Linked DNA regions of Drosophila melanogaster. The protein of the gene in region 2 interacts with the protein of the main gene of each other region in a pairwise test. Each region holds a gene or a part of one and is shown on either strand. Other genes may lie near its edges.

What was found. The genes of interacting proteins can lie anywhere in the genome.
Region 1: the proteins of CG14282 (region 2) and CG12519 interact in a two-hybrid assay, tested with the Drosophila melanogaster proteins (one large-scale study listed by BioGRID).

What each region holds. Positions count from the first base shown.
Region 1 is NT_037436.4:19,469,251-19,474,506, reverse strand, and holds CG12519 (uncharacterized protein), read right to left. Parts: upstream 2,017-5,256; 5' UTR 1,965-2,016; coding exon 1,953-1,964; intron 1,898-1,952; coding exon 1,514-1,897; 3' UTR 1,362-1,513; downstream 1-1,361. Other genes in the region: 825-Oak, read left to right, coding at 2,330-2,341, 2,401-2,778.
Region 2 is NT_033777.3:19,174,323-19,179,850, reverse strand, and holds CG14282 (uncharacterized protein), read right to left. Parts: upstream 2,852-5,528; 5' UTR 2,800-2,851; coding exon 1,918-2,799; 3' UTR 1,865-1,917; downstream 1-1,864. Other genes in the region: CG5555 (uncharacterized protein), read left to right, coding at 1-140, 203-373, 441-1,232, 1,299-1,593.

The DNA of each region.
Region 1 (5,256 bases), on a different chromosome or scaffold from region 2:
TCCGACCCCAGATTTGTAGCGCTTGAGGCAGCTAAAGTTGGTGACAGTGCCTTCTAGGGGGATAGAAGGTTTTGGGCCGCCATCTGTGTCTGGTTTCTAAAACTATAATCGGAACACAAGAAGAATTCTTCGGGTCAGGCATTTTGGACTGAAAGAGGCAACAGAGCTGGTTGTCAATTTCAGGAGAATAGCGTGGGCACCTGTAGAGAGGTGGTTCGACCAGGATCCGAGTGCCAAGATGGGTCTTTTCCATTTGCGGCGGTCCAAGAAAACAGTTGTGGCAACAATGTATGTGGCTAGGAAAAATATTGGACGGCGCGTATGGAATTCGGAAGAACGGAGAAAGTTCAACTTCTTGTCTGGCGCAGAATGAGAAGAGGGTATACGAGTGTAAAGAAAGTGAAGGGATTTAAACATTATGCAGAATCGGCGCTTGATATTGTATAACTAATTGGAAGCGGATGCAGTTAAAGTTTCATTGGATTTGGAAGTCGTAGTATTTCTCCACCCTAAATAAGGGGACACTGAGGCCAGAGCCTCATACGTGGGGTTCGAAATTCCAAGTCGATCGAATTCAGCAGCTAGCAAGAAATAATTAAAAGCGTCAAAGTAAGGTTCGCGACCAAATTGGTCTCTAACTTATTTTCTATCAATCAATAATCTATCATTTATGTTAAGTAAAAACTCGAGATAGCTGTGTGAAATTTGATTAGTATTTAAATATATTTTTATTTTTTGAAGTCTCTAATTGTTTGCCTCTGACTAGGAATGAAACTAGGCTGAGGATCCGGGACATGACCACCGCACATAACCGATTTCGAACATTTTCACCCGAGGTTTACGAAATCGTTACACAATTGAAAAATATTTCTGATCAGGATCACCAGTCGAGTTGATTTGTCCATGTTCGCCACTTGAAAGTCACCAGAATGTATATTGGTCTTCGGACAGTTGGGATGGACGGCGGGATCTTGGGAACCATTTAAGCTACACAGTTTGGATTGGGCATTCAGATTTTAGAGGAGGAGGCGCAGCGCAAGGTAATTTGAAGATTAAACGCCCACTCTCACATTGTTTACACGCTGTGTGTCCTTTAAATTCGGTGATATCGAAAGCGATTTGAGCTTAAAAGTTAAAATTCAGCAGGGAGATTCTAGAAACGTAGAAGCAACTCGAGTATTTCGGTAATCATTTAGAAAAACACCAATATTTTCTGAATCACTGCAATAATTTAAAATTTTGCAGTTAATTTAGACACAACAGATAATAGGGCTGTGATTAAGAAATGTATCAGGTGGCGCTAGAGTGCATTCTCGGAATAATTGTTCATAAATGCTGGGAAATTATCGAGAAATCATCTTCGTGTACGTTCAGACTCTGAACTTCAGAGCCAATTTTGTATTGAAATATATATTAATTTGAAGCGTGCTTAAAAAAGAATAAACAATAGAATAACGTCTTATTATATCTCCATTTATTATCGTTGTCTCCGATGTGATCACAGATTAGTAATTTAGATAAGGAGCGGTGCAGATGGAACGGCGTAGCTCAGTGGTGCGGAGTAAGCCAAAGGCGAGGAGTAGGCCAGTGGTGCAGCTAGAGGAGTAGCCGCGTACTTCGCCACCACAGGAGCAGCCAATGGAGCAGCAGCGTACTTGGCCACCACAGGAGCGGCAACGGGAGCAATCACAGGAGCAGCGGCGATTCCATTGTAGTTCCTGGCGATAACCTGGCTACTGGTGGCGGTCACAACTGGAGCGGGAGCAGCTACCACGGCAGCAGGAGCTGAGTAAGCCAGAGGAGCAGAGTAAGCCAGAGGAGCAGTGTAAGCAAGGGGAGCACCCAGAAGTCCAGGCTTGGCAGCAGCGCAGGCAACGATAGCCAGAATAACAACGGCCTGTCAATAAAATGCGATGAGTAAATATGGCAGGAAGCTAAGATTCCAAACTTACGGATTTGAACATTATGATTATGGATCTGGTGCTTACGGTTCGAAAACTTGAACTTGTCTGATGTCGTCCAACACATTCCATACCACTATTTATACGCCGCATCGGGACTGCGTCTGTGACCTCAGGCCATCGCATTCCGTGGCCACCAAGAGTTATTCCACATTCTGCAGTCAGCAGTGGGAAATCACATAAACTACGGCACAGTGCAAATGGTAAATGGTAACGGGAGACTGTCACCGCATTTAAATGAACTGAATGAGTGCGATCATGAGTCAGATCTGAGCAAACATTCGGGTATAAATATGCTCCACGAAGAGCAGTGGGATATCAAAGAGTTTCTAGCCTTCCGAAGAAGCAAACCAAACAAATATTTCACCATGTTCAAATACGTACGTTCTTCAGAAAGGACACCCAAAGGATTAAACTAATCAAGTTAATTTGTTCACAGGCTGTCGTCGTTCTCGCTCTCGTTGCCTGCGCTGCTGCCAAGCCTGGACTCCTGGGTGCTCCCCTTGCTTACACTGCTCCTCTGGCTTACTCTGCTCCTGCTGCCGTGGTAGCTGCTCCCGCTCCAGTTGTGACCGCAACCAGTAGCCAGGTCATCGCCAGGAATTACAATGGAATCGCCGCTGCTCCTGTGATTGCTCCCGTTGCTGCTCCTCTGGCTGCTCCTGTGGTGGCGAAGTACGCGGCTACTCCTCTGGCTGCTCCTGTGGTGGCGAAGTACGCGGCTACTCCTCTGGCTGCACGACTGGCCTACTCCTCGCCTTTGGCTTACTCCGCACCACTGAGCTACGCTGCTGCTCCTGCACCATTTCTCATCTAAATTTTTATGCTGTGATTATCTAGGACGATAAATATAATAAAAAGGAACGCTTATATCGATTTTATGACCTCACAAAATTGCTGAAGTACTAGATCTTTGGCTTTGCAAAAAACCCGATACTTGTAGAATAAGTCTGTTTTGAGCGGTTTGTGGGCGTGGCCAATACATGGACCAACAAACTTGCTTTTATAGTTCGTGAGATCTCGACGTTAATACAAACAGATGGACATGGCTAGATCGACTCATCTATTGATCCTGAATGCCTGTTACATACTTTTCAACGAGTAACGGGTATAATTATATTATCACTTGTCTTACAAATATATATCGAAACGTTAAAAAACGTCCAGAGTCCAAGCAAATCTTTTTTAGAAAATGGCTTAGATTCGTTTTAATTTATTAGCTTGAGCTGTGCTGGACTATAGAATTTTCTTTTGGTATATCCAGGAGTGGTAGAAGAAAGCGATTTTGAATTTATAAGGTACAAATATTCTTGATCAGGATCCCTAGCCGATACGGTCCAGCCATAATTTCTGTCCGGTAGGTCTGTCCTTTCGTATAAACATCTCGAGTTTTTCGCACGGGTCCCACGGCCACACCGATATAAAAAAGAGAACAGGAACGAGGAAATAAATAAAATGTAAAATAACTATATTAAATATTAGTGTTAGTAGGATCTAATTATGTAATATAAAAGTTAAAATCGATTGCTTTAAGAGCGGCAGAGAGTCAAGATTACAGATAATAGGATAAAGTCTATTATAGTCAGAACATAAAACTCTGTAAGGGTCATGCAACTCATAGTTAGATCTACAATGATTTAAGATAAGGGGTATATAGTTTCTAGTGAATCTACTTGGAACCGAGCAGTTAAGCCGACTAATCAAGTCGGGACTCTCAACATCCCCACGAATAAGCTTACAAATAAAGACTGTTCCAAGCATAGTTCTACGGTTATTAATTAAAAGTAGTCTACTAGAATAAGGAGTTCATATACGGTTTGCATCCCAATTTAGGCGCCGCAAGGCAAAAAGTAAGAATTTTTTTTGGACCGATTCAATGCGATCCGAGTGGACTGCGTATTGTGGACTCCAAACAGGAGTGATCCCCACTCGAGAATCGGACGGATTAACGAAATAAATAAGGTTTTAGTCAAGTAAGGATCATCAAATTCCTTAGACCACCTTTTTATAAAACCAAGCACACCCCTGGTCTTATTGACAATAGTCGAAATATGGTCAGAAAATTTTATTTTGGGTCCAGAAGAACACCAAGATCATCAACTCGTGTTATTCTGTCCAAGGAGCACCCACTTAGAGTGTATGTCATGCGTATTGGGTTGGCACGACAAAAGGTCATAACTTTACACTTGGAGCCATTTACGTCTAACACGTCATCACGACACCATATTTGAAATCGATCTAGATCGGATTTTAAGTCCAAATGGCGCGAATTGTCCTTGTGATGGAGGCATTATTTAAAATCGTCTGTGTACATAAGTACACGCGAATGTTTTATTATTAAGGGGAGGTCGTTAATGAATAAGGTACAAAGAAGCGGACCAAGATGGCTCCCTTTGGGACACCGGATGTGACTCGGAGATTACAAGATAAAGAATTTTTAAAGAGGACTTGTAGCGACCGGCCATTCAGATAGCTTGAAATCCAGTTTAGAAGATCAACAGGGAAACCTAAAAGATCAAGTTTTCTTATTAGAAGGTGATGATTAACAGAGTCAAAAGCTTTACTAAAGTCAGGGTAGATGATATCGGTTTGAAGATTATTTTTGAAACCCTGTATTACGAAAGAAGTTAGCTCCAAGAGGTTAGTGGTTGCTGATCTGCGTTTCATAAAACCGTGCTGACGCGATGGTATGATTGATCTACAATACAAAAGTGCTGCAAATGAGGAGTGATAACATTTTCAAACAGTCTTGGGATAGCCGACAATTTAGAGATTCCTCTGTAATTGCTTGCATTCAGTTTGCTACCTTTTTTATGAAGAGGAATCACAAAGGACTCCTTCCATATATGGGGGAATTGTGAAGATTCCAGAGATAAGGTAAACAGTTTTAGTAGAGGCTTGCACAAGGCTTCCGCACAGAATCTGAGCGGAACACAGCCAGGGATTCCGTCGGGATCTGGCGAATAGACAGGTTCAACACGCTGAAGATCGTTAAGCAGTGAGCTTTCGTTTATAGTGGGGCAAAATATTAGATTCGACTTAGATACCGCATAAGAGTATGGCTGTTCGGAATGAGGTGAAGTTGAATATGTTGTTTGAAAAAACTTGGCGAATAGATCGGCTATTGCCTGATTCGATGTTACCGTAGTGTTTTCAAAAAACAGCGAGGAGGATTTAGATTTTGTGTGGGAGAGCGAAAGAGAGAGAGAGAGAGAGAGTGAGAGCGAAAAGTGCAGTTTATGTGTATGCAAAAAACAACACCAAATAGCACTGCGAACAACGCACAAAAGAGAGA
Region 2 (5,528 bases):
TCCCGGGAGATAACTCCTCGGAGCGGCGATGATGGCCAGGCGGGAGCCAGCGCCTCCAACTTTCCCCAAGAGATAGGGTACTTCTCCGGCAATCCCATCGTCGAGGTGACCAAAGGTCTTATCCATCTCTACAAGAAAAAGTGGGTTAACTCTGCTCTATCCTACTAAATATTTCACTCACCATTATTTCTGTATGTTTCAGCGAACGCAAGGCCATCAAGGAAGCTCCATCTAACCAACTCTGCCTGCTGGCCGTGCCGGCCACTCTTAACTGCCACGATCTGCTGAACTTTATTGCCCCCTGTCATGCAGAGATTAAACACATCCAGATTGTACGTGACGGCAGCCCCAATCAGTTCATGGTGCTTTTGGAGTAAGCGGCGTTCCAATCTGACATTACAGATTCACGGATATTTACTAATATAATCACACTCTTATAGATTCCGCTCGAATGAATCCGCTTTGGAGTTCTACAAGTCCTATAATGGCAGTACTTACAACTCACTGGAACCGGACTCGCTGTGCCACGCGGTCTGGGTATCAGAGGTGGAAAGGAGCGAGCATGGAGCACCACCAATGGGACACACCGAGCTACCCACCTGTCCAGTGTGCCTGGAGCGCATGGACGAGAGCGTGGATGGAGTGTTGACCATATTGTGCAATCACGCCTTCCACGCCAGCTGCCTGATGAAATGGGGTGACTCCACCTGTCCGGTGTGCCGCCATGTTCAAACTCCTGGACTGGTCGAAGATTCCGTGTGCATGGAATGCGAGGGCACCGATTCCTTATGGATCTGCCTGATCTGCGGACATGTGGGCTGCGGACGCTACCAGGGAGGACATGCTGCTGCACACTTCCGGGCCACAAATCACACCTTTGCCATGCAGTTGGGCACCTCAAGCGTATGGGACTATGCCGGTGACAACTTTGTGCATCGCTTATTTCAAAACAAATCCGACGGCAAGCTGGTGGCATCGCAAACCGAGAAAGATGAGCGCGAGGAAAAGATTGACTCCATGCAGATGGAGTTCACATACCTGTTGACCTCTCAGCTGGACACACAGCGCAAGTACTATGAGGAGCGCATGGAACGATTGGAGCAGGAGTGGCAGAACCACAAGGCGACTGCCAACGACGCCAAGACAGAGGTTTCCGAGCTTCAACAGCTTCAGCAGAACATGCAGAAAGAAAAGGTCAATTTGGAGCGCAAGTTGGCCCAGCATACAGCTAAGTAAGAAATACATTCACATCGCCTTTCCTAATTAACCAAATATTAACCAATTTCGTGCTCTTGTAGGCTAAAGGATGTACAGAAGCAGCTGAACGAAGAGCGTGAGTTGTCCAAGGCACTGCAGAGCAACCAGAGCTCCTGGCACGGCAAATACAAACTCTTGGAACAGCAGTACAACGAGTTCAAGCAAACCCACGACGCCGAGGTGACCGAATTAAAGGAACAGCTTCGCGACATTATGTTCTTTTTGGACAATCAGCAAAAGTTGGCCAACACCGAGATAGCGGGTGGCACCGTTACAGGCATTGCAGAGAAGGAACCGGATCCCAACACCCGGCGCCGTAATCGTCGCAAGAAATAAATCATAGCCACCGTACGCCGTCTTTATATCCAAGCTGCATTGTTTACCCGATCTTAGATGGCTATGCAAACCGAGTATATAAGGTTTATAACAGCTCTATATGTGATTTCCTTTGTATAACGAAAACCTAAGGATTAAATATAACTACTACTACGTAGAAAACCATATGTCCCAAAATGTATTGCGTGTTTATTTTGAATTAATAAAATGTTTGAAGAAAGCCGCTTTTCATTTAAATTTTTCCGCTGGTGGCAATAAATTCTGTGTACTTAGCTCGCCAATTTAAAGTTATTATTCGAATACAATCGTGGATTAATAATGATATCATTCAGGCTTCGGACAAATATCCTCGCAATTGAATGTGGGATCCGAAAGCTCCTGGGGTTGCACTGCTGGATCTGCTTGGAAAATCACGAGCTTCTCCTTCATTTCCTGCTCGTTACGATCAAGATTCATCAGATAGGCGGCAATAAAGGCGCGTGGATCCTGCGGCGAATGAATGTGCAGTTGAGCGAAGGCCCTGACCAGTACGTCGCCCATCTGTTCCTTGATCTCGCCAGCCATTGCATCCACGGCCTCCAGATTCTTGCTCTTGGGCATCCAGTCGTATCCCTTGAAACAGCAGCACTCGCAGTAGGTCTTCGGATCGGAATCCTTGAGCAGTTTGAAAAAGGGCAGCAGCTCCGCCTCGCAGCTCTTCAGCTTGGCCACCTCACGCACGAAGCGCTTATGCAGCTCGCACACCTCCTTTCCGCATGCCCGGATAACCTCCGCATCCTGGGAGAGTGTCGCCGTCCGCTTTATGTAGTCCACCGTGTTCTCGTGGAACGACTTGAACTTGCACTTCTCCTCGTTGTAGGCATACAGGCACTGGCGGGCATAGATGATGATGTTGTCCCGCCTCTTTCGAATCTCCTCACTACGCTGGGTGAAGTGCGCTGTCACCTCTTCCAGGCTATTGATCCGCTGGGCGAATTTCGTCACATCCTCGGTGCTCTCGCAAACTACCTTGCCCTTCTTCTCGTGCCCGCACTTCTGGTTCGCCTTGTTAATCTTGGCCAGCTCCGCCTTTAGCTCTAGATTCAGATTCCTTAGCTCCGTGTTCAAGCGCTTCACATCGTTGTCGTTGCAGATCAACGCCTGGAGCATCTCGTGCAGGCAGTTCTTGTGCGGATTGGGCAGCTCATCGGGGCAGCCGGCCAACATTTTTAAGGATTAATTGGGTAGAATATTTTCACAACAAATAGATGTATGTAGCATATATATTTCAGTGTGAATCTTTACTTTTGATCTTTAGTAGAATTTTCTATCAGTTTACTGGGATTCTACGAAAAGAATCCCTTTAACTTAATACAGTATTGAAATATTACAATATGGGCTAATTTAAATATTTTTGTATTGCATTTATAAGCCTTGGCTTAGCAGAATCTTAATTCTTTGTTAGATTGTTTCTTTGCTTGAATATAGTTAAATAACCGAATAACAGTTTTCTTGCGAAATAAAAGTCCAGCATAAAATGTAAAATTACTTACTCGCTGCCAAATTGATTGGTTCTTATCTACAAATATACATACATAAGATATATCAGTACGCTGAATTACAAATTCCCAAAAAGTCTGTCCAATACGAACCGGTTTGACTAGAAACCGAATATTCACTTAAATTGCGTACCGACAGCAACAAAAACAAATAAAGAAGGCAAATAAAAATGAAATTTATTTGGCAGTGAACAAAAGGCAGCAAAAATAAAAAAAAATTCCTAATGGTCTCCCCCAACAATCCCCGCCCCTCCCTTCCCATTTCTCTAAAAAACGGTTCCACTTTTGGTTCGTCTACAATTGGCACACGATCAATCATTATGTCTCTTCTAACGCAAATTTATCTAAACGAAAGGTAGGGTATGCTGCATTTATTGATACCCTCTAGGATTAGTGTGTATCAGTTATATAAGTAGATACTATATTTTCGTACAGGGTATGCTCGTTGGCGAATACCGAAAGGAACTACTTGCAAAACTCCCACTAATGGACAATCGAAAAGCTTTCGAAAATTAAGTTTTGGCACAAGTCAACCTGTTTTCGGATGAGGAGAACTTGCGAAAGGTAAGCGGGAATCGACCTTTGACCGTCTTGTACCTGTAATTAAGTAACTTAATTAATTTGCCGCCAATAAAACCCAACAAACACAAAACAATGATTGAAGCTTGCGAAATTTTGATTTCAGCGTTTGAATAAATTTTGCATAATTTTTTCGGTTTCTTTAAGAATTTCATGGATATTATTGTGTTTAACCCGTGAAGGGTATAATTTGATTGATTTTCGGCGATGAGCATGGAATTTTCGACGGGTTTTAAATTTGATGCATAACGCAACTAAACTGTTGCACAATGGAACAGTCATTTTTAGCTTACATCAGATCATTACTTAACCACTGGTATAGTAGTTGGTCTTAAAATGCAAAATAAAAATGCATTTAACTATTTGTATGCTTTATGAATCGAAAGGTTTTCGAACCCTTTTAGGTTTAAGCAGCTGCTTGATCAATTTTTCATTTTCCATTGGGGGGAATAATTATAATAATTAGAATTATAGAACGCGACTAATGAGCAAATATTGACTGAGAAACTCGCCCAAGGCGTTTCAAATGGGCGGATGCAAAGCCCGAGTATGCAAAGGAGAGATAAACAAATAACCGAAGGACCACAGATGTGAAGAAAAGGACGACCGATCAAAAGGATGTGCCAGGATGGCAGCGCGGATCTCGGGGTGGGTCCCTCCTCCTTATCCTCTTCCCATTTGCATAGAAAAGTGACCCAGTTCTCTAAGGATGCTGATGATTGTTTAGAGCTCGCAGCTCGACTTCCTAATGCGCAGGACTCTGAAAAATGGCGTGAAAAAAATGTATTTAAATAATTTACGTATTTTTCTATTCGAAAGCACAACGATTTTTTTCGTTTCTACCTCTACTTTTTTTGCGGAGGATAAATGAAAAATGATGTTTGACCCTCCCGTCCTGCGAGACGCACCCTTCTCCTTCTCCTCGATCACGTATGCAAATGCGGAGCTATGTCCTGGGACAGGATCAGCGCTTCAACCCTTTGAGGACAACTGGCGGCGTCCGATCCGCGAACGTGTTGTGCATAAATTAAGGCATCCTTGCCGTCCTTTTGTCCTGGCACCCTTGATGCCTCGGCAAGGAAACGCTTCCGCATGGAAATGAGGCAAAAAAAGCCGGATTTTTTTCAGCTCCTTGTCTTCTGGCGTCTGCGTCTTTGTGCGAGTCCTTCATCCTTGATCGTCACCCTGAACGCAGCGTGTCTTTCAGCCTTGTGGGTAACCTGGCAGGGAGAACACAAAAAATCGTGAGAAAATTTCCAGCGCCAAATATTCAAATTAGGTAACCAAATGCCGCCCGTTGCATACTTTTTTGGACGGTTTTTTTTTTTTTTTTTTGAGTCCGCACCCAAAAGGACGGGAAGAAAAAAATCATCAGAATGCATGCTCATCCCATGCAGCCCCTATTGTATTGGGCGCATCAGTTTTTTAACCCATTTTTTTGTTCAGTTTCCGAAATTTTTTATGCTTGACTACCGAAAAAAGTCGTTTATAATTGGACAGAGTTCAGCTTTTTTGCCGCCTTTTTTTTCACTCCTATTTTGAATAACGATATCCTGCGTGACAAGTTTTTTTCTTCGTTTTGGTGAAAAGGATCTTAAAATCTTGTTACTGTAGTTTTTTATCCGTTTTTTTAGTACCTTTTTCCATGTTTTTTTTTTTCACTTTGATAAAAAGGCGGTGAGGAAATGTTAATTAAATAAATGTTACTGCGTCATTTTAGGGTAAAATCCTGTTTCCAATTTAATGTCTTTCAATTGCGCAGTTAATTTTTGTTTTTTGTCTTTTGAATGAAACCTCCTTTTTTTAACAATTTTAACA